Linked DNA regions of Nothobranchius furzeri. The protein of the gene in region 4 interacts with the protein of the main gene of each other region in a biochemical or structural test. Links are inferred from orthologs where the notes say so. Each region holds a gene or a part of one and is shown on either strand. Other genes may lie near its edges. The genes, in order: gucy1a2, adra1d, adrb1, snta1, kcna4, gda and abcc4.

Region 1 (4,041 bases), on a different chromosome or scaffold from region 4:
AAAATGAAATGTGCTTAAATGCTATATGCCAAAGGTACATTTGCCTCCTGTTTACCACTGCTTATACAACTCAGAAATACATGTTCAGTAAGCATTTTTTCCAAGTTCTATGTATAATTTGTCTTAGTTGTAGCTCCAAAACATACTTCCATGTACTTCTTTTATTAACGGTCTCTGATTTTTCCAAGTAAGGTGAACTAATCAGATTTTACAGTATATGACAGGGGTCATAAGCAAAACTGGCCATTTAATGAAATTTCATTTAAAAACAATTAAAAATAAGTTATGTGGAATGATTGGACAAATATTCCTTATGAAATAATGCTTGTATCTCACAGAAAATTTAATTAAATAAAAATCCAGCTGAATGTGATGATAGTTAAACGTCATGGTCAACAGGCCATGGGGACATGATGCCTGATGTGAGCATACATGAGGACAAAAAATGGCTCCAAGGGCAGTTAATGGAGCTTGCAGCGGTAGTACAAGCTCACTGGCCTCCATCAGAGGACAGAATGATGCTCTTGTCTGGTACTAATAACAGCCATGACCTTGACCTCCATTGGCACAGCATGTCTGTTAATTATGGAGCCCGATGGGACCGACAGAGACACTGAAACAGACATGATGCATCATGCAAGTGCATGCATGTGGGCACGCACACATCCCTATGTTAATTTCCTGAAGGTTCTTGTTAATTTATTTGACTCTCAGGAGCAACATGACCCCAATCCACTGCACAGACTTTCTCTCTATCTAACAAACGCCCACACACGCTCTTCCCTCACACACATTGTGCACAAGCTCTGCCTCTCTTTCCTTATCTGGTTGCTTGCACTTACCAATCAGTCCGCAGCCCTACGGTCATAATGTGGGCATTTAATAAAGCCACTGCTACAATGAAACAAATTATGTTCCAAAGAAGATAAACCTTCGAGCAGAGGGGCTGCCTGGAGCTGGCCGCCAGCCATTTATAGCCAAGCGCAGACAGGCCACAAGATATAAAGGGCTGTTCTTGGTGTTTTAAAGTAATTTCATTCAGTAGCTACATATATCATCGAGATGACATCAAATTTTAATAACTTATCTTGGAAATTATTTGACAGTTGACTCAGAAACTAAAAATAAAGAACTGATGGTCCTGGTGTGATATTACACATATGAATTTAAATGTGAAAGTCCCTTAACCAAGTTATGTCAACTGGTTTTGGTTGTTTAAAGGTGCAATAAGTAAGAAGTTTATGGTGAAATAACCACTTAACCTTCTAATGACTCTATCCAGTTGGAAGGAAGGTTACATTGAAATAGATGTCCTTCTCATCGACTGGTGGTTGCCAGTTTTTCTAACAAGAGCTGAAGAGAAATGTAGCCTTTATATTTTTTTTTACCTTCTGTCCCGCCTCCATACTTCCTGCTCCGAGAGCCAGTTTTAGCATCTGTAATTTGACACCAGCCAGGAAAAGGCGGCAGCATTGTGGAAAGAACGTTGGCCAATCAAAGGAGGGGCCCAGAAGCTATTTTTTGTAAACCTACAAAGGCATGGTATTCTTATTGTTTTACTCTATTATCGGGTGAAGTAGGCTAGAGGCTAACATTGAGCTAACAATGCTAACAGTGAACTAGAAAAAAATTGCTGGCTACTCAAGCAACTTTTTCCCAGCAATTCCAGCAACAACTTACCAGCAACTCAATGTTATAGTGAAATGTTTTTATCTACTTATCAAGCCAATGTGTATGACTAGTCTCTGCTCATCTAGAATCTTCTAGTGCTGATCTGCAAGGCCGGATTATGGGCAAACTGGGCACAGGCCCAGGGGCCCACAGCTACAAAGGGCCCACGCAAGCAGCAGTCTTTTTTTTTTCTTGTGCAGCAGTCTTAACGTTGGAGAAAAATGTTGACAAGTAATGAAAATTGCGCCCACATTTTCTAAGTTAACACAATTTATTTTAACAACGGTAGTTTTTGCATCTTAACTGTTCCTGCTTCAGCACTCTCCCCCTGCACAGCGGCCGCAAACTCACTGATGCGCCTGCAGCCTCTCAGAGTTCCTGCTGCTCTAAACATTGAAAGGGTCATTTAATTTTCTGTTCCTCACTTCTGGTGTCTGTTTGTTGCAACAGATTACATTTTACAGCAGTCTGATCATCATTTAAATACATAAACCATCACCTGGCTTCTAGTCCACGCTATCACCATTATTTTAATTGGTGTGTGTGTGTTTTCCACTTCAAACACTGGTCTAACCAACCAGACCAGTGTGTCCAGTAACATATTAATGTTACAACTAAACAGTTTCACTTCATGTAGGCTAGGAACATTTCACCTGCCGTGGCCCGACTGCTTCTGCTCCACATAAACTTTGTGCATGATCAAATGTCTCAACAGGTGCTTTCTGAGCTGAAGAGGTTATTCTGCCTCAGACAGACTGGATGTGTCATGCGTGCCCATATTGGAGACGGGAACAAGCGCTATTCAGCCAAAATTTCATAATCAGAGAACATTTTTCCAGGTGACACATCCCTCAGAGAGACAGCATTTCCAGACCGCTTCAGTGGAAGGAAATCTTACCGCATCACTGTGGTTCTGCGCTGCACTACAAACCCCTCTACAGATCTTCAGCTCATTGTCCGTGTTCGCTCCCAGCCGCGCTGAGCAGTGTCCAGTGTAAAGCACTGAAGTTCTGATGAGAATCTTTTCTTGATTTATTTAGTTACCCCCGAGATGTGCGTAACGATTAAAATGTCAGCTCATCTGTGTGCGCATCAGTGTGCATTGAGGTAATTCTTTCATAACAACCAACATTTTTGAGTTTATCCGTCAAAATAAACAGTCAAATGGAAATATCTGTAACCTGCCATTTAACAGTTTTGCCTTCTTGTGAAGATTTTTTCAAAGAGAAACTATTAAACTTGATTAACCCCAGAGCCATGCGCACTGCGCTGTACTCCGTGACTGTAAATGAGGGGGGAAAACGATTTAATCGGATCTTTTTCTTACCTTTTCACCATGGTTGAATGTAAAAATTTCATTGAGTACAAACTTTAGTTGCACCAATCTAATGAGACAGAGCCCGGATTTGTATTCTGAACAGTTTAAACATGTTTAAAACGGAGACATGCGTGACGCGTCTAAAATTCACACCTGCTCAGCTATTATGGAAATTAAACTAACAAGATGAATAACATAAAATTATTTTAGGCACAGACAACATCCCCCACACTTTTGAAAAGCTTGCAACATGCCTGCCACCAGTTACAAATTGTGAAGGGGAATGATTTTCACAAATGGCAAGAATAAAAAATGAACTGAGAACAACACAAACTCAACAGCGCCTCAATGCACCATCACTGATGGCAATTGAATCTCAGCTTGTCAGGAATCTGGACTTTGATGACATTGTAAATTAATTTACTAATATAAAGGCCAGAAAGCAGTTTTTCTGAAGGCGAGAGGAGACCAACAAGGAAACAAAAAGAGGAAGGAGCCAGGAGTCAAGAGGAGGAAGGAGACAGGAGATAAGATGAGGAAGGAAGCAGGAGACAAGAGGAGGAAGGAAACAGGAGACAAGAGGAGGAAGGAAACAGGAGACAAGAGACAAGAGGAGGAAGGAGACAGAAGACAAGAGAAGGAAGGAGGCATGAGACAAGAGGAGGAAGGAGACATAAGACAAGAGAAGGAAGGAGGCATGAGACAAGAGGAGGAAGGAGACAGGAGACAAGAGAAGGAAGGAGGCATGAGACAAGAGGAGGAAGGAGACAGGAGACAAGAGGAGGAAGGAGACAGGAGACAAGAGGAGGAAGGAGACGGGAGACAAGACGAGGAAGGAGAAGGGAGACAAGACGAGGAAGGAAACAGGAAACAAGACGAGGAAGGAAACAGGAGACAAGACGAGGAAGGAAACAGGAGACAAGAGGAGGAAGGAGACAGGAGACAAGAGGAGGAAGGAAAAAGGAGACAAGGGGAGGAAGGAAACAGGAGACAAGGGGAGGAAGGAGACAGAAGACAAGACGAGGAAAGAAACGGGAGACAAGAGTAAGGAG
Region 2 (4,230 bases), on a different chromosome or scaffold from region 4:
TATACATGTTTTTTTGTCCTTAAACGTAAAAGTAAAGAGCTGAGTAATCTGTTTTTATGAAAGGCAGCGACAGTAAGGGACTTGTGAGGTTATGATGCAGTTGTAGAGTGATCTGGCAAGCAGCCATGAGGTCAAAGAACCTTTCCCACTCAAGTGGTTGATCCTCCCAAAAGATAAGTGACTAATACTTCAAAATAAAAGTCTTTGATTAAAACAGCAAGGTCTGAAGCAGAACATGTGACTGAGCTGGGCTTAAATAGACAGGGAAGTGCAAACAAAGACAATGGAAACAGGTGAGATGATTGCAAATGAAAAGGGCCAACAGGTGTGACTAATTAACTGAGAAATAGGAGGCAAAACACAACACAAGATGTAAATAACAACACAAAACGATAAAACAACAACTAGAACAGAATGATACTAAACTAAAGGCTGAAAGAAATAAACTAAACAGGGAAGCTAAACGAGGATAAATGCTCTGAGAACTGAAGCCCAAAAATAATAATTAATGAAGTGAACTAATAAAACAGAAAATAGAAAATAATCGAGAAACTAAGCAACTAAAGATGCAAGTGAAACTAATGCAGGGAATCCAGGAGAAATCGAGAGATAAATATTGATAAACTGACAAACCTAATAGAAGCTAAAGTAAAAATTAAGACTTAACTGGGGAAAACAGAATAGAACACAATAAAACAAAAACATGCCAACTGAAACTAAAAGGCTGGGAGAAATAAACAAAACACGTGAATCCAAAAAGTCAAAATCTTTGAAAGGGGAAAACACAGAATAAGGACCGGGGACTGGGGAGACTGTAAAAGGGAATGAAGGTGTAGCGTGATGAATTGTCCATCACGTAAGCGGGGGGGGGGGGGGGGTGGGGGTGGGGGTGGGGGGACGGACAGGCCCGTCCTTAGAGCACACAAAACCTGGAGATGGCAGCCACATCTGCGTCTGGGCACTCCAGCTATATCCCTGGATGTCAGAGCAGACTTGTTGGGTAGGTTGGAGGATATGAGTGATTCTGTCTCCTGAGATTTCAAGGATGGAGCCCAGATTCATTGTTTGCCCTTCTTTGTCTTTTTGTGATATTTGCAATGAATGTATGATAAATACTATTCAAATATACCTCAGAAAAAAGGCAGAGCATAAAAAAATGACTGGCCATATGAAGCTCCTGTTGTTTGGGAGGCTGCGAACGCAACAAGCGCCACATGAATGTGGGTGGAGCTGGAGGTTCAGACCTGCTGTAGCAGCTCTGGCTGTGATCAGAGTTGTTCCAAAGGATGTCACCATGCAGAAGAAAAACGCGCTATAATGGACCTAAATGCGCTTCCGGTTGGGGCTGTTCATTAATCCACTAAGCCAGGATTTAAAACAAATTTACAGGAAAAGGACGGATCTGAAGGCGCGTGCGGGTGGATGTTTTTGTTATTATTTGTTTTGAGTTGAATTCTTTTATGTTTTGTTAGCTGTTTATTCTGATGAAAGCCGCCAGGTTGCGTTTCTGAGACCAACGCGGAGCGAGGCAGAGCGCAGCGCCCATCAGCCAGTTTTCCTGCGAATAAAACTTCCTCTAAAGTTCTCTTTATGGCGCAAAATGACAGACTCTAATTTGAGGAATGAAAGCAACTATGGGCTGTCTCCTGAAGCGTTCAACGACTCTGTTCTGGACCGCTTGTTTCAACGTGACAACATCACATGTCAGAACTTCACCGTGGACTCGCAGGCTGTCGGCGTCGGGATCTTCCTCTCTGCTTTCATCCTGGTGGCGATCGTTGGGAATATTTTGGTCATCCTGTCCGTGGTGTGCAACAAGCAACTGCAGAACATCACCAACTTCTTCATCATTAACCTGGCCATGGCGGACCTGCTGCTGAGCATCATCGTGCTGCCCTTTTCCGCGTCTTTAGAGGTGCTGGGCTGCTGGGTGTTCGGCAGGGTGTTCTGCAACATCTGGGCAGCTGTGGACGTGCTCTGCTGCACCGCCTCCATCCTCAGCCTCTGCATCATCTCCATCGACCGCTACATCGGGGTGAAATACTGCCTCAAGTACCCGAGCATCATGACAGAGAGAAGGGCAGTGGCTATTCTGGTGCTGGTGTGGGTCTCATCCGTGGTGATCTCTGTGGGACCGCTGCTGGGATGGAAGGAACCCCCGCCTGTGGACGAGAGCATCTGCAGGATCACAGAGGAGCCCGGATACGCGCTCTTCTCCTCGCTCTTCTCCTTTTACCTCCCGCTCATGGTTATCCTCATCATGTACTTTCGGGTGTACGTGGTGGCCCGCAGGACCACGAAGAGCCTGGAAGCGGGCGTCAAACGGGAGAGGACTAAGTCTGTGGAAGTTGTGCTCCGGATTCACTGCCGCAGCGTGCTGGAGGACGCGCGTCCGGCCAGCTCCAAGAGCAGCAAAAACCACCCATTCCGAAGTTCGCTCTCAGTGCGGCTCATGAAGTTCTCCCGGGAGAAAAAGGCTGCTAAAACTCTCGCCATCGTGGTGGGGATGTTCATCCTCTGCTGGCTGCCCTTCTTCTTCTTCTTGCCATTAGGTATGTTCATAGTTTCACGGGTTTTTCCATAAAATGGAAATCTTTGCGACCATCTATGGGGCGCCGATTGTGAAAGTAAAGGTTCTAATTAAAATCTAAACGTTTTGACTAAAGTCTAAGAGGTATATAAAAGAACGCATATGTGCTTAGAATCAACATATGCTGTTCAATATTTATATTTAGAATCATTCAAGCGCATTGTTGTAAATTTAATTATCAATTGCCTGCTGGTGATTGTGGAGGGACCTCGCTTGCCTCTGTCAGTGAGCCCCAGGGCAGCTGTGCCTACAATGCAGCTCATCACCACCAGGGTGTGAATTTGTGTGTGAATGGGTGAACGACTGATTGTGTTGTAAAGTGCCTTGGGGGGTTCCAGGACTCTAGAAAGCACTATGTCAAAAACAGGCCATTTACTATATTTACTATAGACAACCAACACATTCGTGTTGATGTAGAATGAAATCAAATTGAATAATCAAATCATTGTTCATTTTGACATTGTGAGCCCACCGCAGGGCACAAACTTTACTTGAGACAAAAGTAATCAGTAAGTGTGAGGTGATCTTTATGCTACACAGAAACCCAAATCAACACACAAAAAAATGGTGGTGATGGTGAACATTCTGCTCAGCTTTATGGTTGACTCTGAACCAGGAAATAAAGCTACAGAACAACCAGTGAAACCGCCCCCAGCAATCAACGGCAAACGGTTCCAAGGCCCGACTCGGCCCTTGGAACCACAGAGAAGCAGGGACCAAAAAGTAGAGGGAAAGTAGGGAGAAAACAAATCCTTGAAATGAAATGAAATGAAAAATGAGTCCAGACCGAATCGCTTCTCCCGACGCAGGTTGAGGTGTGGCACCGGAAAAAGCCTCATTCACAGTTTTTGAAGGAACTGGGCTGGTAGGTTGTTCCATACACCTTGGGGGACTAATCACAGATCTTCAGTGGATGTAGGCATCCTCACATCCTTCAGTTTCTTCATGCAGTCCTAGAAACACTCCATGATGTTGAGATCAGGGCTCTGTGGGGGCCAGACCAACACTTCCGGGACGTCTTGTTCTTCTTGATTCTGAAGATAGTTCTTAATGACTGTGGCTATATGTTTAGGGTCACTTGCTTTGTATTTTGTACATTACTAAAAATAAACAAGTATTTTTTAAGGATGCTCTTTAAACATCTTTTATATGTTCATTCTGTGTATTTCTTCTAACTGCATTACTTGGTTCTTTTAGGAATGCTCGATACTGGCTTGTTTACTTCTATCCGATATGCCAATGTTATCAACTCTTAATTTCCATTATCGAAATATACAGAGATCCCTCTCATAAAAAAGAAAATCTAAAACATTTAAGGTTACTGACATCACATATCTCCTCTCATGCTTACATCTTTTACATTTTCTGTGCAAAATGAGAACTACTTCAGTTTATGTTAGGAAAAATGGCATTTTTAATTAGCCTCCATCAGCAGCTGAATCTCATTCTCCCTAAGTGGGCTGCTAAGATGTGTGTATTAGTCAGTAATGTATGTTTTACTTATATTGCACAGTAATAAAACATTTGTAAAGATCTTGAGATGAGAAAAGCAACGCTTGATTGTTATAGTTAGTCACCACAGGACAAAATTCTACTTTACAAGTTGTGCCAAATACACTAAAACATTTAAACAACTTTAT
Region 3 (4,224 bases), on a different chromosome or scaffold from region 4:
TCATACAATGGAAGATGTTTCATGGCTATTCTCACACTCCGATACTCAAAAGGAACGATTGGGATTCTGCAGGATTTTGGAAACATGGGAACTTTGCTGCGATTTGGAAGTTACAGCTGGGTAATAAAACAATTCTGGTTATCCACTCATTTTAGGAAGTCTATTAGTGTTTGCATGCTTTAGTGTTACATCCGTTGATTCTGCTTTTTGTAAAAAAAAATAAATAAATAAATACTTAAATTTAACAAATCAAAATAATAAGAGTCTTACATGTTTATAAGAAGATAAAATCACCTGTATAGTCATAGCGGCCTTTCTGCGTGGAGTTGTGTGTTCTCCCCATGCATGCGTGGGTTTCCTCCGGGTCCGGTTTCCCCCACAGATCACAACATGCCCTATAGGTTATAAACTGTAAGTCGCTTTGGATAAAAGCGTCTGCTAAATACATTAACATAATAAACGTAAAATGTGGCTCTTTGCATTTATTCAAGGAAAAATTAACAATATGTTGAAGGAACTTTCAGCCCTTTTCTCTGACTCCGTCACAAACACCAGAATCATTTGAGAAAACAAAACATAAGATTGAAATATTTTTAGGGTGTTTCACTTAAAAATCTTTCAGCTGACTACATAATATTTCAAACAGTCAAGAATAGAGCTGTTATTACTTCATTCTAAGCTTAATTTATTCTGTGCTCAGCTCACATGTATGTAAAAACTGTGTGTTTAAATGTTTTTCCAGAATCAGAAGTTGGTGTTACCCATGCATAACAACTTCATCACAAAGAGAAATATTTAATATTCCTCTCGGTGATGCATGAGTACCGTTCTTGGGTTATTTTCTCTGCTTCATCAGAAGTTTCTGCCTCTAATGGTGCAAATGAAGGGAAAACACTGAGAACAGGAAATGACTTAACCCTTTACTGGTTCCAAATGTGTGACGCTTAATTGTTCCACCAAAAAGCCAGCAGGGAAAAACATCATAATCAAAAGGCTTTGCTTCAGCCTCCACACTTCAAGGTCAAAAAAGAAAAAAATAAAAGCATCCTGCTGCTCATAAAGGTCAAGGGGGAATGTTGACTTCTCTTCGTTGTGTTGGGTCGGGTTGTGTTGCAGCCTCAGCTGTGGGGTCGCTGGGTTCATGGGCGGGAGCGTAAATCGTCCACATAAAAACAAACAAAGTTTTGTTGTTTTCCATTTTTGTGCAGACTGTTTGTCATGAGGCCGGTGGAAATTTACACATCTGATGTGGACTAAGGTGTACAATCACTCAGAGCTCAAAGGTTATGGTCCATATTGACATGACAGCATCACACAGCTGCATGATGGGAGTCTCCTGTTCCACCACATCCCACATGTTCTGGACTGAGATCTGACTGTGGACATGGTTGGAGTCCAGTGAACTCATGGTCATGAAACCAGATGATCTTCGTGACATGGTGCTTTATCCTGCTGAAAGTGTAGCATGGGTTAGGGTCCACGTGGTCATGGATGGACATGGTAGTCTGTGGTGTTTAAACCAGGCTCAGGTGGCACTGGGGGTCCAGAGTGGGACAAGAACATCTCCCCCACACCATTGTACCACGCTGCAGCAATGATACAAGACAGGACGGATCCAGGTAGTTCACATATTCTCTCATTAACATTAATTAAACAGCTGAGCAGGTGCAGAGTGACCAGTTTATTTAAAACAAACTCAAGTGGGACAGTGGTGAGTCTTTACATTGATGCATTTAATAAAATCTGGTTGTGAGCCAAACGCTTCTTTATGCAGCTGTGAGGCCAGTCTGCAGGTCTGTGTTGGGTCAAGTCTCATGTTTAAGGAATGTATTCTCAGAGATAAAAATATAAGGAGAAAAACAAGTTCTGGACGTGATAGCAAGTGGTGACAGGAGGGAATTCCCTCTGGACCATTGTGATGTTTCCCATATTTGGTGCACCGTTTTCCCACAGTGTGGGGTTTTGCAGGATAAGAAATTCATGGGTCAATTTCTCATCAGAATATCGCGAATGTTCAGTAACTGTCCAGTGCATGCAAAATAAGACTGGAAGTCTGCTTTTCTCAGGTGCAGCTTGTTTCCTGATCCTCACCGCTGGGACCGCGGGTCCCCTGGACTTTCTGATTGGCCGTGATGAGCGGTGATGTCACCGCCTACCTCGCTGTCCAGGCCGGCGCGGTTTCGAGCGCAGATCCAGAGAGAGAAGCTAAAACACTCCGTGGAGTCGGCGCGCGATGGGATGAGAGCTGCGTGAACGCCGCACAGCGCTGCCTGGATGAGACCGAGCTGGTCCAGCTCACAGAGCAGCAGCCCGTCATGGGGAACGGTGGTGCGTTCTCACCGGTGAACCTCCACAATGGCACGGGGAGCGAGGCGCCGGGCTCCGCTTCACCTGCGTCGGAGCAGTGGATGGCGGGGATGAGCCTGGTGATGGGTCTGATCGTCGTGTCCATCGTGTTCGGGAATATCCTCGTGATCGTGGCCATAGCCAAGACGCAGAGGCTGCAGACGCTCACCAACGTGTTCATCGTGTCGCTGGCGAGCGCGGACCTCATCATGGGGCTGCTGGTGGTGCCATTTGGCGCCGCGCTTGAGGTGCGCGGCTCCTGGCTCTACGGCTCCTTTTTCTGTGAGTTCTGGATCTCCGTGGACGTGCTGTGCGTCACCGCCAGCATCGAGACCCTGTGCGTCATCGCCATAGACAGGTATGTGGCCATCACCTCACCTTTCCGCTACCAGAGCTTGTTAACCAAGGCTCGCGCAAAGGCGGTGGTGTGCGTGGTGTGGGCCATCTCTGCGCTGGTCTCCTTCCTGCCCATCCTGATGCACTGGTCCCGCGACAACGTGGACACAGCCTGCTACGAGAACCCGGAGTGCTGCGACTTTGTCACCAACCGGGCGTACGCCATCTCCTCATCCATCATATCTTTTTACATTCCTCTCCTGGTCATGATCTTCGTTTACGCACGGGTGTACAGAGAGGCCAAGCAGCAGCTGAGGAAGATCGACAAGTGCGAGGGCAGGTTTCACAACACCCTGACTGGACTCACCTCCAAGTGCAAGAAGAGGCCGTCCAAGATCCTGGCGCTGAGGGAGCAGAAGGCGCTCAAGACGCTGGGCATCATCATGGGGACTTTCACTCTGTGCTGGCTGCCCTTCTTCATAGTCAACGTGGTGCGGGTGTTCAGCGCAGAGGTGGTGGACAAGAACCTCTTCGTGTTCCTGAACTGGTTGGGGTACGTGAACTCGGCCTTTAACCCAATCATCTACTGCCGGAGTCCGGACTTCAGGAAGGCTTTCAAGAGGCTGCTGTGCTGCCCGAGACAAGCCGACCGCAGGCTGCACATCAGCTCCTGCGACCTGTCCCGCTGTTCCGGCGGGTTCGTGTCCGCGCTGGAGCCCGGGACCTTGGAGATGTGGTCGGACTGCGCCGTCCTGGACAACAGCGACAGCAGCCTGTTGGGGACAGCGAAACTGTCCCACTCAGAATCACAACTGTGAAGAAAATAAATAAAACCATCCAGATGGAGAGTTAAAAATATATACAAACAGGAAAGGATGCGCGTAAAATCCAAACCATTCGCTGTAAGTGGAGTTGTCTGTACAATCAGTTAAAGATCTTGGTCTTAATTCATCGATGCGATAAATCCAAAATCGAAGGTTTGCGCTCACAGAACACAAAGCGCTTTTTCCACAAAAGCGCACGAGCCTTAAGGTGATTTATTACTGCAGATGCGACTTTTTACTCCAGATCTGTCGACCAGGTGGCTATAATATTAAAAGAATCACGTTTTGCTGATACCTTTGTTCATAATGGGAAACAATGTGTTCCTAAAATGATCTCTGAGGCGCTCCAAAACGCGCATAACGTGGATGCCAATAAGCTCTTAATTACCTCACAGGCCGGTGCAATTTATACGGCAGGTACTTGTTTATATTAAACATAATGTAAAATAAGTGTTTTTATTTATTCGGTGCGTTCTTTTACAACATAACCAAGTGAGGGGTCAATAATTGCGCATTTTGTGGTGTGGAATGAGGAATCTCGAGCCTCTGTCTGTCTCCGGCTTTACCAGCTGTTTTAAGGTGGTGCTTTGACGTCTGTGAAAATAAAAATAACCTTTGATTGCTTAGTTCTGTTCGAGCTGTATTTCCTGTGAGTGGTTTTATATTAGAACCTGATCCACAGGCTTTTGCTCCATGGTAATTTCTTATTTTTTACATA
Region 4 (3,500 bases):
TATTAGAAGCAGAGCCACCAAGTTCATCCAGTTTGTTTCTCTCGGAATGAAAAATATCTTACCTTCAAGAATGACTTCTTTGCCAGTTTTTTTTAGCGCTTGCACAGCCTCATCGTGTGTGGCCTCCCGTAAATCATTACTGTTGACAGACAATATGGCATCGCCAACATAAAGCGCCTCAGTCTGGTCAGCAGCCAGGCCTTTAAAAATTTTGGAGATGAGGATGGGCATCTTGTTTTCCTTTCCTCCTGTAGGGCCAAAAAAGGAAAAGGAAAAAAAAACAGGTTTGTTTCAGTGGTTATTTAATTGCTGCGGTTATTTAACAGTGTCAGAATTTCTCACCTAATCATACTTTTTTTTTACCTTTACCTTCACACTGCTCTCCTTCATATGCACTGCAGTTAAAGGTTCAATTAAAGAGACACAGACAGCAGCAATTACTCTTCTGTAGTAATTTCTAGAGGTTTCTGTTGCATCCTCTCCCTCCCTTTAAATCATTAAATGAAGGTCAGAGAGTGAGTTAATGTTTCTGCGGTTTGCTAAGGGCTTCCACTCTGCACAAAATGCCATCAGTTAAGCAATTCAAGGTATTAAAAATACAAATTTGTTAAAAAAAATCAAAAACCATCTAACCAAGTTGTACCTTTGGGGGTTTTTCCTTTGATTTACCTTCATGGATCTCATTTTATTAGGATACTTTTTAAATGAGAAATATTTACTGTTGATTCTCTGTGTGGGTTTTCATTCAGCACTTCCACTTATTCTTTTGTTCTGAAAATGTTCTCATTTATGTTATGATTACACATCAGCCAGTGCTGATCTTTTTTTATAATTTAATAAAGTTGAGTTTTATTTAATTCTATGTAAACATTGACGATGAATGAATAAATGCCCTGTGAGTCATTCTCTGAGAAAGAAACACTCTCATGTTTCAGAAAGTAGAAGGAAAGCTTTATCCTCATTCCGCAGTGGTTTCTCCTCCTGTTCCCTCCATAAGTGGTTTTTATAAACACCGTGGATCTAACCCTGCTAATTTACGTCCACTAACTCCAGCTGTTTCTGTAGTTTCTGATTCCACCACCTCACTCAGCATGGCTCTATTAAATACCAGCTCTGTTAACAATAAGTCCTTCCTTCTCAATGATTTAATTCTCTCTAAAAACCTGGATTTTCTGTTTTTGACTGAAGTTTAGCAGCAAACTTCTGATTATTCTGGTCTGATTGAACTCTGCCCGAGTGGTTATTCTTTTCTTAGCCAGCCCTGGGGTTCTAGTCATGGTGGAGGCCTAGCTGTTGTTTTCAGAGACCATCTTCCATGTAGCTCTACAACCTCTGATCACTTTGCTTCCTTTGAACTGCAGCTGATTAAAGTCGGGCATAAAGATCTGTTCTACTGTGCTGTGGTCTATCGTCAACCTGGTCCAAACAGTTCTTTCCTTTAGGAGTTTAGTGACTTTCTAGCCTCCACTGTGAAGTTGTCCAGACTGGTGATTGTGGGTGACTTTAACATCCACGTTGATGATCCTTCAGACCAATTTGCTATGAATTTCTCCAGCCTTATGGACTCCTTCAGCTTTACCCAGCATGTTTCTAGCCCCACACACACCAGGGGGAACACTGGACCTTGTTTTTACACTGGGTCTAAATGCTGACAGTGTTTGTCCTGAGGACGTTTATATTTCAGATTACCATTGCATTTCCTAACTCTTCAGTTTCTGCATCCCCACCTCCTGCTCGCCGTATGGTTAGTTCTCGTTTTCTTAATGAGAGCACAGCTAAAATTTTTTCTGCTGCTTTTGATCCACCCTGTTCTTCTGATAACGACCCAGATTCCTTAACTTCTCAGTTAAACAAGCACTGCCTCTCTATTCTGGACAATATCTGTCCTGTCGGAACCAGATCAGTTCCTGTAGTGAACCCTACTCCCTGGTTTAATGACAGCCTTCGCAGCCTGAAGTGCCAATGCAGAAAAATTGAGCGCTTGTGAAAGAAAACCCATCTCCACGTCCATCTGCTGCACCTAAAGGATCTTCTGACATCCTTTAACTCTGCAGTCAGAGATGCTAGGGTTTCCTATTTTTCCAACCTGGTGTCCCAGAGCAAAGGGAACCCCAAGGTGCTGTTTAACACCATCAGCAGCATTGTCTCTCCTGCCAAACCTACAGCCTCCATCCACTCTGTTGCAGACTGTGAGAACTTTCTGTCTTTCTTTGTGGACAAAGTCAATAAGGTTAGATCGAGCATCTCTCCTTCAGCCTTATTGCTGCCTCTCCCGACTCCAACCAGGCCCATCATCCTAGATAGCTTTGCTCCGGTTTCTTTGCCTGAGTTAACCAAACTAGTTAACTCTATGAAGACCTCTGCATGCCCCCTCGACAACTTACCCTCATCTTTGTTTAAAAGTGCTTTTCTGTCCATCGGTCCCAGCGTGCTCTCTATAATTAATGCTTCTCTGGTCTCTGGTCAGGTCCCTGCTTACTTTAAGAATGCTGTAATCCACCCGCTTCTTAAAAAACCGAGTCTCAACCCCTCTCTCCACAGCAGCTTCAGACCCATCTCTAAACTTCCGTTCATCTCTAAGATCTTGGAAAAGGTTGTGGCTAAACAACTCACAGCTGCTCTTGATGAACATAACATCTATGATAGCGTCCAGTCAGGTTTTCGTAGAGCTCATTCTACCGAAACAGCTCTTCTTAGGGTCTCTAATGACCTTCTGACTCTCAGTGATGCAGGGGACTGTTCTGTTCTGGTCCTGCTGGACCTGACTGCAGCCTTTGACACTGTTGACCATCACCTGCTACTGGAGAGGCTGAGAGACTGGGTAGGACTCGTTCCGGTCCTAGAGATGCCGCAGGCACACAGGTGGAATTTGTTTGCGTCTGCAGATTCTTAAGGAATCTCGTAGCATCAGATTGTTCTGCAGGTGTCGTTTGTTGTGTCGGAGCAACTCAGCGTGACAGAAATTGCTTTGTTGGTTAAAGAGAGTGTGGGCGGCCGTCCCAACCTTCTCTAGAACTCACTCGCAAATGACGAGAGTTCTGTTTTAAAAGATGGCTATTATCATTTGTAACGAATCAGGTTTTGACATGTAGAAGGAAGATTTAACAAACCCTCAGAAACATGCCTCTCTGAAGATAGAAAGTTCTGGTGTTATGGGAAAAGATCATGTGAGTGCAGTTACCTTTAACATAGTTACTGTGACCTGTGTGAGCTGACTAAGTGCACATGATTCTTGTCATAGTTACGCATTACTGATTATCACAATTATTAACCAAAGAATAATAATTCATTTCAGTAATTAAACACAGTTATAATGAACCTTGATGGTTAGCAGTAAAGAGAGTTTATTTAAATGATTCTTTTAAATCTTTAAATGTCCTTGTCTTGCTGGAATGAATAGCAGTCAGATAAGCAGACAGCTGCATAGATTAAAGGTGTGGTAGCAGACTTTAAGTCTCCTGCGAAGGACTATATTGCAGATTGGAGTCGTAGCCAGGGTA
Region 5 (4,137 bases), on a different chromosome or scaffold from region 4:
GTTGAGGAAAAAAAGTCAGTTTGGCACCATGGAGGCATGCTGAAGGGCAGATAATTGTGGATGAGAGACTGCAGCAGGTACGCAGTACCGGCTGCGTCCACTGGGGGAGGACCGAGCGCCGCCTGCGCGCTGCAGTACACGACACACACACACACACACACACACACACACACACACACACACACACACACACACACACACACACACACACACACACACACACAATGGGAGGGATACAGGAGATAGGTAGAGCTAAAGCGGCAGACAGACAGATGTGTGATGCTCAGACTGAGGCCGTTCCTTTCCGCCCGAACCAAGGTAAACTTTTACCCACCCTCGTTTTCTTCTGCTCGCGGTCGCGTGGAGCCATCGTAGATGCCAACTCGCTGCGTGAACACCTGATTCCCCAGAAGCGGTGCCGCAGAAATTGAGGCTCAAGTGCCAACAGATCCTGTTGAATTGAGACAACACGTCGACATGCACGCAGCCGGAAAAAGTGCCCTCCTCAGAGTGCGTCAGAGCACGGATGCATATGCTGGATGTGGATATGGTCGCCCGTTGGAGACGGAGACGGATTTGTGATTATCACGCCTCACAATCAAGACGAAGGTTTGAGCGCAGAAGAAAATCTGTATCCTCGCCTCCTCATCATCTTCCAACAAATGTGTTTTTAGGAGGGCTGAGGCTCTTTTGGCCCTTTACGGATGTAAGTATGGATGTCAGGATGAAATAATGGTGCTTAGTGAGAGGATTTCGTGCGAAACGTGTTTTGTTAATGCCGTCCAAGCATTAATATTAATAATAATAATAATAATAATAATAATAATAATAATAATAATAATAATAATAATAAGCGTGTGAAGTTTCGTAATATGCACAGCGATCATTAATATTAACACGTCCCTTTCTCTCGTGTTGTTGTCTAAATCCTATCCTCTCCTTTTCTCGCAGCTTCTGAGAGGAAAAGTCATTCGGATTCATCGGAGCTCCAGAATAAAGCGGAGATCCATCCAAATGAAACACAAATATAGATCTCACCTCATAAAATGGCAACCACGGGTGACCACGGAGGATTAAAGGACGCGTTTGAGCGCAAACCCTCGGTCGTGGGGGAATGAGCCACCTGATGGCCACCAGAGAAACGGAGGAGAGACTGTTTTGGTGTCGCTTGTTGACTCGGTGATTTATGAACACATAAAGCGGCGCTGCAAGTTTGACAGAGCGTCTGCGTAACAGGCTATGCCACTGGCCCTTGGATTTGTATTATCCTTATGTTTATATTTTGCTTCTAATGATGTCATAAAATCTTGGGTGCTCGAGCCACGACCATTATCTTCTATCATGTAAGAAGCTACCCAATATGGACCTTTCTGAGGAGTGTTTGTTGTTCTCACTTTCTCTTATTCCCGGGAACGGTTGATGCCTCGTGCCCTCGCGTCTCTGCGCGCGCCGAACTGCAACTTTTCTCCCCTGCTCTGCATCCACACCTTGTCGTGGCGCTTACTGCGCCGCTGATCGACTGAAAATGGAATTTGCGATGGTGGGTGCGGACGGAGGGTGCAACAGTCACCTGCCTTACGGATATGCCCAAGCTCGCGCACGGGAAAGGGAGCGCGAGAGGGAGCGCCAGGCTGCCCAGTCGCGAGCGGCGGCTGCAGCGGCCGCGGCCGAAGGATGCTCTGGTGCGGAGGGAGGAGGAGGAGGAGGAGGAGGTGGTGGAGGCGGTGGTGTAGGGGGGTCCACCTCCACCGCCTCCTCGAGCGCTCATCTCCTTAACAATCGCCAGCATCAGTCTCGCGCCGCCTCCTCCTCCGCGAACATCAGCAGCAGCGCCGCCTCGCGCCCCTCCTCCTCCTCCTCCCAGCATCAGCAGGAACCCGAGCAGCAGCACAGAGTTCTCAGAGAGCGGAAAAAGCAGCGCGGCGTCGGACGGTGGAGGCGCAACCGGAGCACTCTCGGCGGGGACCTGCGCCACTCGGAGCTGGCGCTGCTCGGATCCGAGGAGGACATCATGATAGAGGAGGAGGAGGAGGAGGCCGAGGGAGCGGAGGAAGAGGAGGAGGAAGAAGGGGAGGCGGCAGAGGGGGTTCGAGGCAGCAAAAGGTCGAGTTTTCTGTGCAACATGGATGATGAGGAGACGGTGTCGATCACCGACCGGCGCCCTCAGTCCGGCTACGAGAACGTTTACAGCGAGTGCGGCTGCTGCGAGCGGGTGGTCATCAACGTGTCGGGGCTGAAGTTTGAAACTCAGCTCAAGACTCTCACTCAGTTCCCAGACACCTTGCTGGGAGACCCCGACAAGCGCATCAGGTACTTCGACCCGCTGAGGAACGAATACTTCTTCGATCGAAACCGGCCGAGCTTCGATGCCATCCTGTACTACTACCAGTCAGGGGGGCGCTTAAAAAGACCCGTGAACGTGCCGTTTGACATCTTCTCAGAGGAGGTGAAGTTTTACGAACTCGGCGAGGAGGCGATCCTCAAGTTTCGGGAAGATGAGGGTTTTGTGAAAGAGGAGGAAAAGCCTCTGCCGGAGGACGAGTTCAAGCGCCAGATCTGGCTGCTGTTCGAGTATCCGGAGAGCTCGAGTCCTGCCCGGGGCATCGCGGTGGTGTCCGTCCTGGTCATCGTCATCTCTATTGTCATTTTCTGCCTGGAGACGCTGCCAGAGTTCAGGGATGAAAAAGAGTACCTGCAGCCACGACACAACTCTTCTCAGCCGGACCACGGCTTCACACCCTTCAACGACCCGTTCTTCATCGTGGAGACGGTCTGCATCATCTGGTTCTCCTTTGAGATTATAGTGCGCTTCTTTGCAAGTCCGAGCAAAACAGCTTTCTTTAAAAACATTATGAACACGATAGACATTGTATCCATTTTGCCTTACTTCATAACTCTTGGCACGGATCTGGCGCAGCACCAGGGCAACGGGCAGCACACCATGAGCTTCGCCATCCTGAGAATAATCCGCCTGGTTCGGGTGTTCCGCATCTTCAAGCTGTCCAGACACTCCAAGGGGCTGCAGATCCTGGGTCACACGCTGCGCGCCAGCATGAGGGAGCTGGCTCTGCTCATCTTCTTCCTGGTCATCGGCGTAATCCTGTTCTCCAGCGCGGTGTACTTCGCTGAGGCGGACGAACCCACCTCTCAGTTCACGAGCATCCCCGACGCGTTCTGGTGGGCCGTGGTTACCATGACGACGGTTGGCTACGGTGACATGAAGCCCATCACTGTTGGTGGGAAGATAGTTGGTTCGCTGTGCGCGATCGCGGGCGTGTTAACCATCGCGCTGCCGGTGCCTGTCATAGTGTCCAATTTTAACTACTTTTACCACCGAGAGACGGATAACGACGACCAGCCGCCCGCCGTGGTGGAGAGCATGCCCCCGGGATGCCCTTATTTCCCTGACTTTCTAAGAAAATTCAAAGGTTCACCCTCTGGCTCATCGCTGGGTGACAAAGCGGAGTACATGGAGATGGAGGAAGGGGTGACGGAGTCGCTGTGCGGGCTGGACAAGAGCCCCAGTAAAGGAAACGGCACAGACATAAGCAGGAAAAACAGTACTAACTCTAAATCCATTCAGACTGACGTGTGATTACAGTAGTTTATTATTATTAGTGGTATTGTTTTGTTTTCCAAAGAAGAAAAGCATCTTGTAGAGACACTTTCTGCTCAACAGCAGCGGAATCCCCTCCCCAACCCTCCCCAAACACAGGCTTTACGCACGCGTCAGAGTGCACACAGACACACACAGATTTACGCACACACATACACTCACACATAAACACGAAACTAATTGGCAAGCTCAAAAGTTTTCTCTTGACACAATCATAATCTATAATTTATCTAATTTATTGGTAAATATATTAATTTATTCTGTGCGGGCTTCCAAATCTGACAGATCTAAATTAGAAACAGGCTATGCATTCGCACTTTATGAGTTTCATCTGTCACACCAGAGGGTTAGGGACGATCTTTTTGCTGTTATGCAATACAGTTTAAAACATGTTTGCACTAATGTAGAATTTGCGCTGGGTTTGGCAGATTTCTATGTAGAGACAGAAACTGTAGGCCATGCAGGCAACACGGTAGGCACCTTCTGCTCAGCTGGAACACGAATGAGGATTTTAACACTCA
Region 6 (4,103 bases), on a different chromosome or scaffold from region 4:
GGGTGACATGAGCATTTCATTTATGTTTGTTTACAACTTTATTCATTTATAGGAAGGATAACTGACCCATAGCAAACCAGATTACAGGTTTGCTGCTGCATTTCTTGTCATTTTCTGTTTGAGCTTGTCTTTAGTTGCATTTATAGCAGGTCTATGGTGGGGTTATGTGGACTTATTTGTATACTTCTGTAGATAATCATGACAAACTGTAAAACAATGTTGGAAAATTACACAGTCAAATGTTTCAAATGCAGGTTTATAGGAAATAAACAGCTTAACCTTGATGTCAGAAACAAAAACAATTATGATTTCAATAAAGCTGCCAATAAACTTCCCTTTTGGTATGTAAATTATTAACTCATGACAGTACTTCTCTACCAACAGCTGTTTTTAAGTTAGCTTATTGTTTTGTTGACACAGTCTGAATCATAAATTGGATAAATAATCCACCTCGTCTTAAGTACCCGATAGGCCATCAAACAGCTGACATCAGCTGTGGACTTGTTGTGTTTTTAATAAACCATGTAATGAGCAGGCTACTGGATGTCTGGCAGTACAAAGTTAAGGGTTCAGTGACCACGATTACATAAAATGACCGAGTGAGGCTGCAAAACCTCATGTACGATTCCGCGTTTTCACCGTTACTCATTTATGTGAGCCTGCGTTCGGCGTTATGCAACAAGACAGTGAGATGATAAGAACAAGGCATAAAGGTAAAAGGCTGCTCTGCTTTTCAGCACATTTCTGCTGAGTCCAGAGGAACAGTTGGTAAAAATAAAATAAAGCTCAAATATCTGATATGTTCCTCTTTCAGAATCAAGCCAAACATGTGACGGCTTGATCACATTTTTATCTGCTGATCTAAAGGATTTCGGGCATGACATCATCAATTTCCCTCTGGGATTAATAAAGTATTTTTTGAATTGAATTGAATAATCCCATGAATAGAAAGAGCATTTTTGTGTTAAGTCAGCTAAAGAGGATAGATTTTCTTGTTCTGCAAGATGAGAAGTTATGCAAAAAAAAAAAAAACATCCAAAACAATCAACTTGATTTTAATGGAAAATGTATGTTTAGCTAAAAAAAAAGAAAAGGTGGGGTATAGATGCTGCAGTCATGCAAATTAGGAGAAAAGTCAGCTTTCTGCTGTGAATCAATCCTGAATCATGAGCTCAAATATGCTGTTTAACGAAATGTTATTCTTGTTTTCTGCATTGAAAGGCTGATTTGAATTACAGTGTTTCCCTGTGCATGTGTGCGTGTGCAACTTCGTACGTGCAATCCTCCCCAGCAGAAGAGAAGAATCCGTGTGAATAGTAGCAAAGTAACAGGCTGTAGTTGTTCCATTTCTTAGGGTTCTTTTCTGTAAAACACAAGCTTACATTACAGGAAGACCACTTCATTTCAAACTTTAACCCTCCCACTGTCTTTATGGGTGACCCGCGAGGAAAGTTGACCATTGAGCAGGATTGATGGTTTATCCCTTGAGGTCCATGTGGCAGGGGTGAGGTGGTGCTCACTCCTCCCCCCTGCCACATGGACCCAAGGGATAAACCATCAACCATGCTCAATGGCCACCTTTCCTCGTGGGGTCACACCCATTAAGACAGTGGGAGGGTTAAACCAATGGTGTCACTAAATTGTGAACTTGGGGTAAAAATTCTGCATCCTGCTCACCACTACTTGTGTGTAGACGTTATGGGCAAACTGTAAGTCCTTGAAACGGGACTCCACAGGAAAGGTGTAGGTGTTGAGCCACTGCAGCAAAGGCATGTCTAGGGCTGTGCCAGCATAGCTGTACTGGGAGGCATGAATGTGTGTGTCCACCATCCCAGGCATGAAGAACTCACTGTAACACAGCAAAAAAACAAAAACAAAAAAAAAAGGTGTGTAAATGTGTTTATTTGTCTCATAAGGATTTAATTAAGTTAATCTCTGACTTGACCCGTCTAGTGTGTCATAATTCATTCTCTTACTGATCCTCCAGTTGGATGACTTTAGATGGACTGAATCCAAAGGTCTGAGACAAATCCTGTAACTCTCCTCCTTTGTCAATAAAAGCAATCTGATGACAGAAAGAGGTAATTAGATGTATTTATAACATGTGTCAAGCTTTTAACCAGAAAACCTCACCCTCTTCCTGTATTGATATTTACCAAAAAGTTCCTGTATTTCTGCATTCTGTTATAATTTTATTCAATAGGTTTATTTTACAACACCTAACAAAAATGTAAGAAGGTTTTTTTTTTGTCTAAAGTGGATATATATAAATGTCACAAGGACTGTCACATATAAAGAAAATCATATATATAAATTAAAACATTTCTTTTTATGTTTTATGTTAAATAATAACACTAACCTGTTTGTCTGGGTTACATAATGAATAAATTGTTTTTCTTTAGTAAAGAATAGTTTCACGGAAATTGCTGAATGAGAATTTATTATAATAAAAGCGCAAATGATCAAGTCACCGGGAAACAACTCAAGATAAAATATTATAAGTTTATAACTTTTCATTGCCTTCGTTTTATCAGATCATTTATTCAGTTGTCAATTTGAAAAAGAAAACATAAACTGTAAATAAACCCGATCAAATTAGAGGAGTTTGTCAAACCTTTCCTCGGGTGTCCACTCCCAGGAGCGCATCTTCTAGGATCTGGAGCGGTGTCTGAGGCGTCGAGTGGACAAATGTCCCCCTGTAGACAAACGCAACAGCGGAGCAGGACCTGACGGAGGAGTCCATTACTACAGCAGTGTGATATGTTGCGGTGAGATACCTGCTGCAATAAAACGCGGCTTTTATCTTCCTGATCACCGTCCACTAGAGGGCGCCTCCACCTGACCGCAGAGCCGGTACGCAGCCAATCAGATTAGAGGATGGGTGAGGTGTGTGTGTGTGTGTGTGTGTGTGTGTGCGCGCGCGAGCAGAAAAGGTACGCCAAGTTCACAGATGAAATGAAAACAGCTTAAAACCAAAACACAGCTTTACACTAATCTTCATGTTGTATCAAAAAACATGTTCATTTTTATTTTTAAGGCCCATTAATTTTTTTTGTTTATGAAATAAGCAGTTTTTATTTCCAGAACTTATTTACAAACTCACGAGTTAACAAGAAAACATTAATGACTGAAATTACAAGATTATTATTAAGCATCATGTGTAAAAACACATGATGTTTCAGTCATGAGTGTTTCAAAGTGATGAGAACCTCCATGACTAACACACGCCACGATGATGAAAAAAAACGGATAAAGTTCGTTCTTGATTTTATCAGGATCACATGACAGATGAAAACATGAATTCTTTAAGATGACATCATACAAGAAAATAAACATTTTATGGACTCAGGTCAGGATGAGAAAAAAGGCTGTCAGAACAACTGAAATAAGGCTTAATAACATGGAAAATAAAGAAATAATGTTATTACTTAACATTTATTTATAATTTAATATAATCCTGTGGTGAAATTGTGATATTTTCTTTTGTTTTTAATATGCTTTTAGATTAATGTAATGATGCTAAATTGGTGATTTTGATGTTTAATATTGTTGTGTTTCAAAACACCGAGGTGTTATCGTTTTTTTTTTTAGATTTAACTAATTAAAAAATATATTGCAACAAATAAGCCCAGTACAAAGGGATATGTACCCTACAGGAATCTATCGTTTTACTACCCAAAAGTGTTCAAAGCTTTTACTAGTCAGAATTGTACTTTCACTTTAAAATTATATTAATAATGTAAACACGCACGCACGCACACACACACCAATAACCAAATGAAAAATAAAACAGAATAATTTTTGGTTTTATGACCATGACATGGATTAAAGCTTATTTCTGTTTATGAATGAAACAGTAACATTTATGGATGTGGCATGCCTGAAACATGAGATAATTATAAATCTAGTTTTAAAAATTATTTGTATTAGCTAATGCTAATAAAACAACTTTATAGCAAGTTTTTTTTTAATTTTATTCGGCAATTATATAACATTAAAACCGTAATAAAAGAATAAAACCATGTCTTGACATATGTACATTCACCTGAAGGATTATTAGAAACGCCTGTTCAACTTCTCCTTAATGCAATTATCTAATCAAC
Region 7 (3,500 bases), on a different chromosome or scaffold from region 4:
GACAAGCGCCGCTGCGATCTGAGATGCGCAGAGCTGCCGCTGGGGAGAACCGGGTGGAAAGGTTTCCATCCCAGAGCTCCACAAGCCGGCAGCCCGCGCAGCAGACAGAAGCTGTGATCAGACAGAGATGCGCCGAGCTGCGGGGAGGGGAGAAGAGCTCAACAAGCCGATAGCCGGAACCCAGCTCCACCAACATGTTATATTTCAACCCATTTTCTAAAGTGCAGCATTATGTTAAATGCACTGGGTTTAACCCTATTACATTTAAATTTCATGGTTAAACAGTACATGTTAAAATCTAAGCTCAGCTCGGCAGTGACCTAAAATACATAAATATAATTTTACTTACCGAAAAAAATGAAGTGGAGACTCCTTGGATGCTCTATTAGTGCAATTAATGCCACAGCAAGTCATTTTATCCAACAATTGCACAAATAATATCCAAAAAAAGAATACACAAACACAGAGACTCAAAATCCCGGAACAGTTTCCAGGCCAGACCGAGGCTCTACTGAGGCCTTTCCACGGAGCTAACTGTGGTCACGTGGGTCTGATGCTCATTAATTATACAGAATTTTAGGCTTTTAATACACTTAAACAGAAGAGTGAGAAAAAAATCACCCCCCTCAGAGTTGTCATGAGTGTAAACTAGATCATTTAAACCAAAAACATGTTTTGGTACCAGGCTGTAAACATGTTTATTTCTGCTGTGAAATTGGTATTTTTAACATGGGAGTCTATGAGGATTTGCTCGCTTCTGACACCAGCCCCTAGCAAATGTCCCACATGTGGGACAAATAAAGGAGGATGGTATCTTAAATCTACACTCGCTGCTTCCACCGTAACACCTTTAAAACCAGGGAAACCCCAGGAGGGCACTCACCAACCAAATACTATCCAGATGGTTTCCTCTCACCCGTGGACATTTTTTCCTTTTAGACATGTACTGTTCAACTGTTACAGTACATTGTTCAAACAGCAGCCAGCTCCGGACTCCGACTGGTTCTTTTTGATAAATACCGTTATCATTTTTTAATAGAAGTGATCGTTTTTGTTTTGTCATCAAAAATTCATTTTTCATGAAAAAATAAACAAAAACATTTGGTCAACAAAATGAACACGGGTATACTCGAGCAGAATAGAGGACTCTGCGGGTTGCCGTACCTCATCAAACCTGTTGACGTCGTTAGAGAGCAGGTTGACGATCTGGCCTGTGGTGGTCTTTCCCATGGCTGAGCTGCTCAGGCTCAGAGCCTTTGGGAAAGAGAAGGGAGAATTAGCAGTGCAAAGGCATGCATGCATGCATGCACACGCACACACACACACACCTTCTTGTAGATCATGTGACACATGGCCACTCTGATCTTCATGCCCGCCCTCTGAACATTGTAGAAGTAGAGATGATGGAGCACCGCCAGGCCCATGGTGCAGAGGGCCATCCCAGCGGCGTAGCCTAGCGTCTCATGCAGAGCCGTTTGATCATCTGGGTCATAACTCTCAAAGTACTGAATCATCTGACCCAGGAAGACTGGCTGGACCACTTTAATGGTCTCCTGTTGTAAGAGGAGGAGAAGGTGGTCAGGGCATGAAAATCTCCACTCAGAACATTAAAGGTGATCCAGCAACAGCTCCAACCTCTATCAGAGTAAAGATTCCCAGCACACCGTAGGACTTCCAGTAACAGCGGATAATGACTTTCCCCAGCGCCGGTGCTCGCATCTCTTTGGCAGCATTCTGGACCTCATGATCCCAGTATCTGGTTTGGAGAAAAATGTCCTTTCCTCAGGTTATGTGGGACATGTGGTGAGTCAGGACTTGCCCGTGACGCGGCAAACGCATAATTACAGAAGGATTCCCTGTGAGAGGAGTTGGATCCAGGCAAGTCCTTGGGCCCTGTGGCCATGGATGTGGACATTAGCTCCTTTCACTATAAGATTTTATTCTCTTCAACTTAGACCTTGTTGTTGTTATTTATACACTTGATGTTGACTTTAATTTTAAAAATTATTTGTTGTCTTTCTTTTTTTTGTAAAGAAATTTGACAAGATTTTAATGGAATCATTATTTTATTTAAACTTTTGATAGCTAGATATGTGTTTCCTTTTGAATCACACCAAATACAAGCTTGGGTCTCAGGAGGTTACACACATCAGCGCTTCTGCTAAGCACTTGTTCCACTTGACCTGTAAGAAGGGTTTGATCGGGTTTTACTGACATGGGCTTAAAGACGGGTCTACAGTATCCTCGTGGCAACGGTTATCCCAGGATTCAATGCGGGCTGAACGAGTGAATTTTGTTGTAGCATTAATGGTGAATGGAGCAGGGGAGGATCACAGTGTTGCTACGTTAATATCTGGAGGTCAAAGAGGACAAAGCTAAAGCAGTTGGGTTGTCAAGACTCTTCGTTTGCATGTTTTCTTCTTTTGTCAAAAATAAGAAAAATCCTAATAAACTAGCTAGCATGCCGGGTCCTTCGTGTTTTTACACAAAGTTTAGTCTTATCTTCTGTTTAGCACCGTCACAGTTGCTAGGCAACGGGACATATGCCGAGGACGTAGGAATAAATATGAAGGCTAGACGAAGCGGTCGAGGAAGAACCCAACATATGTGGGCCGGTCCATAGAAGGATGCTGCCTGTGAATTGGAACACAGCCATATGTGTTGGTGGCTAAAGCCTGACTCACTTGCACATTCTCCTGCAATGCCCTGGTCCTGTAGAATGAGCCCTGGCATTTTTACTGTGATTGCCTGTTTTTCTGTAAAATCACAGAAAAAGAGAGATGCTCGGGTCGAGCAGGCTGCTTCATGCGCGTTCACGCTCAGGCATAGCTCGTAGCATTTGCTATCCGTAGCTTTAGCAGCAGAGAGAGAGGCAGTGCCACTTTGTCGCTGTTCCTAACGCCTAGTGACAAAGCTAGCTACATTTCTGAGGACCCTTAGCTACTTTCTGTAGAACTTTCTTCTAGATATTTCCTGCAAATTAGCAACAAAATAGCCATTTTCACTTTGAACCGTTCTTTGGTTTGACGTTGTTTCAGCTGTCGTCAAGGATATAAATGTTACAGATACATTGAGTGTTACTGGTGTGTAGCTCACTTTGTAAGACGTCTGACTCCCATGCAGAAGACCTGGGTTTGATTCTGGGTGTGAACATTTTAGAGTTTCTTTTTTACATTAATGGTATATTTTTTTACAGTAGGATGCCCAAATTTTTATTTGAGACTCGCCGAACGGCATTGAATTCACAGATAAAAAAGATGTGGGTTCAACTTTTATTTTGGAGCAAATTTTCAAGCAAGGGAAGGGAATGATCTGAGCATGCAGGAGGACTGACCCATCATAAACCTTTGTCGGCTGTGCTGAAGAGAAAGGTACAGAACCAAATTATTTAATTAATTAGCTGCGCGTTCTCCTGTCATCTGTCCTCCGGGCCACAGACACACACACACACACACACACATGGAGCTGACTGTCTCAGCTGTTATTTTCGTTAAGGAGTG

The links.
Region 1: the proteins of snta1 (region 4) and gucy1a2 interact in a test that uses a peptide from one of them, tested with the Homo sapiens proteins (3 studies listed by BioGRID and IntAct, with this or other methods). The link is inferred for Nothobranchius furzeri from reciprocal best matches to the Homo sapiens genes SNTA1 and GUCY1A2.
Region 2: the proteins of snta1 (region 4) and adra1d interact in a test that uses a peptide from one of them, tested with the Homo sapiens proteins (2 studies listed by BioGRID and IntAct). The link is inferred for Nothobranchius furzeri from reciprocal best matches to the Homo sapiens genes SNTA1 and ADRA1D.
Region 3: the proteins of snta1 (region 4) and adrb1 interact in a test that uses a peptide from one of them, tested with the Homo sapiens proteins (2 studies listed by BioGRID and IntAct). The link is inferred for Nothobranchius furzeri from reciprocal best matches to the Homo sapiens genes SNTA1 and ADRB1.
Region 5: the proteins of snta1 (region 4) and kcna4 interact in a test that uses a peptide from one of them, tested with the Homo sapiens proteins (2 studies listed by BioGRID and IntAct). The link is inferred for Nothobranchius furzeri from reciprocal best matches to the Homo sapiens genes SNTA1 and KCNA4.
Region 6: the proteins of snta1 (region 4) and gda interact in a test that uses a peptide from one of them, tested with the Homo sapiens proteins (2 studies listed by BioGRID and IntAct). The link is inferred for Nothobranchius furzeri from reciprocal best matches to the Homo sapiens genes SNTA1 and GDA.
Region 7: the proteins of snta1 (region 4) and abcc4 form a complex in vitro, tested with the Homo sapiens proteins (2 studies listed by BioGRID and IntAct, with this or other methods). The link is inferred for Nothobranchius furzeri from reciprocal best matches to the Homo sapiens genes SNTA1 and ABCC4.

Annotation. Positions count from the first base shown.
Region 1 is NC_091753.1:35,474,315-35,478,355, forward strand, and holds the start of gucy1a2 (guanylate cyclase soluble subunit alpha-2), read right to left. Parts: upstream 2,801-4,041; 5' UTR 1-2,800. UniProt on the Homo sapiens protein: Has guanylyl cyclase on binding to the beta-1 subunit. Isoform 2 acts as a negative regulator of guanylyl cyclase activity as it forms non-functional heterodimers with the beta subunits.
Region 2 is NC_091746.1:78,324,893-78,329,122, reverse strand, and holds the start of adra1d (alpha-1A adrenergic receptor), read left to right. Parts: upstream 1-1,430; 5' UTR 1,431-1,600; coding exon 1,601-2,552; intron 2,553-4,230. UniProt on the Homo sapiens protein: This alpha-adrenergic receptor mediates its effect through the influx of extracellular calcium.
Region 3 is NC_091756.1:38,265,707-38,269,930, reverse strand, and holds adrb1 (beta-1 adrenergic receptor), read left to right. Parts: upstream 1-1,424; 5' UTR 1,425-2,132; coding exon 2,133-3,500; 3' UTR 3,501-3,956; downstream 3,957-4,224. UniProt on the Homo sapiens protein: Beta-adrenergic receptors mediate the catecholamine-induced activation of adenylate cyclase through the action of G proteins. This receptor binds epinephrine and norepinephrine with approximately equal affinity.
Region 4 is NC_091743.1:60,389,355-60,392,854, reverse strand, and holds part of snta1 (alpha-1-syntrophin), read right to left. Parts: intron 249-3,500; coding exon 63-248; intron 1-62. UniProt on the Homo sapiens protein: Adapter protein that binds to and probably organizes the subcellular localization of a variety of membrane proteins. May link various receptors to the actin cytoskeleton and the extracellular matrix via the dystrophin glycoprotein complex.
Region 5 is NC_091749.1:47,038,238-47,042,374, reverse strand, and holds kcna4 (potassium voltage-gated channel subfamily A member 1), read left to right. Parts: upstream 1-1,337; 5' UTR 1,338-1,525; coding exon 1,526-3,595; 3' UTR 3,596-3,742; downstream 3,743-4,137. UniProt on the Homo sapiens protein: Voltage-gated potassium channel that mediates transmembrane potassium transport in excitable membranes. Forms tetrameric potassium-selective channels through which potassium ions pass in accordance with their electrochemical gradient.
Region 6 is NC_091757.1:40,758,581-40,762,683, forward strand, and holds the start of gda (guanine deaminase), read right to left. Parts: upstream 2,801-4,103; 5' UTR 2,744-2,800; coding exon 2,615-2,743; intron 2,066-2,614; coding exon 1,977-2,065; intron 1,850-1,976; coding exon 1,678-1,849; intron 1,364-1,677; coding exon 1,276-1,363; intron 1-1,275. UniProt on the Homo sapiens protein: Catalyzes the hydrolytic deamination of guanine, producing xanthine and ammonia.
Region 7 is NC_091754.1:57,249,940-57,253,439, reverse strand, and holds part of abcc4 (ATP-binding cassette sub-family C member 4), read right to left. Parts: intron 1,757-3,500; coding exon 1,636-1,756; intron 1,554-1,635; coding exon 1,329-1,553; intron 1,255-1,328; coding exon 1,165-1,254; intron 1-1,164. UniProt on the Homo sapiens protein: ATP-dependent transporter of the ATP-binding cassette (ABC) family that actively extrudes physiological compounds and xenobiotics from cells.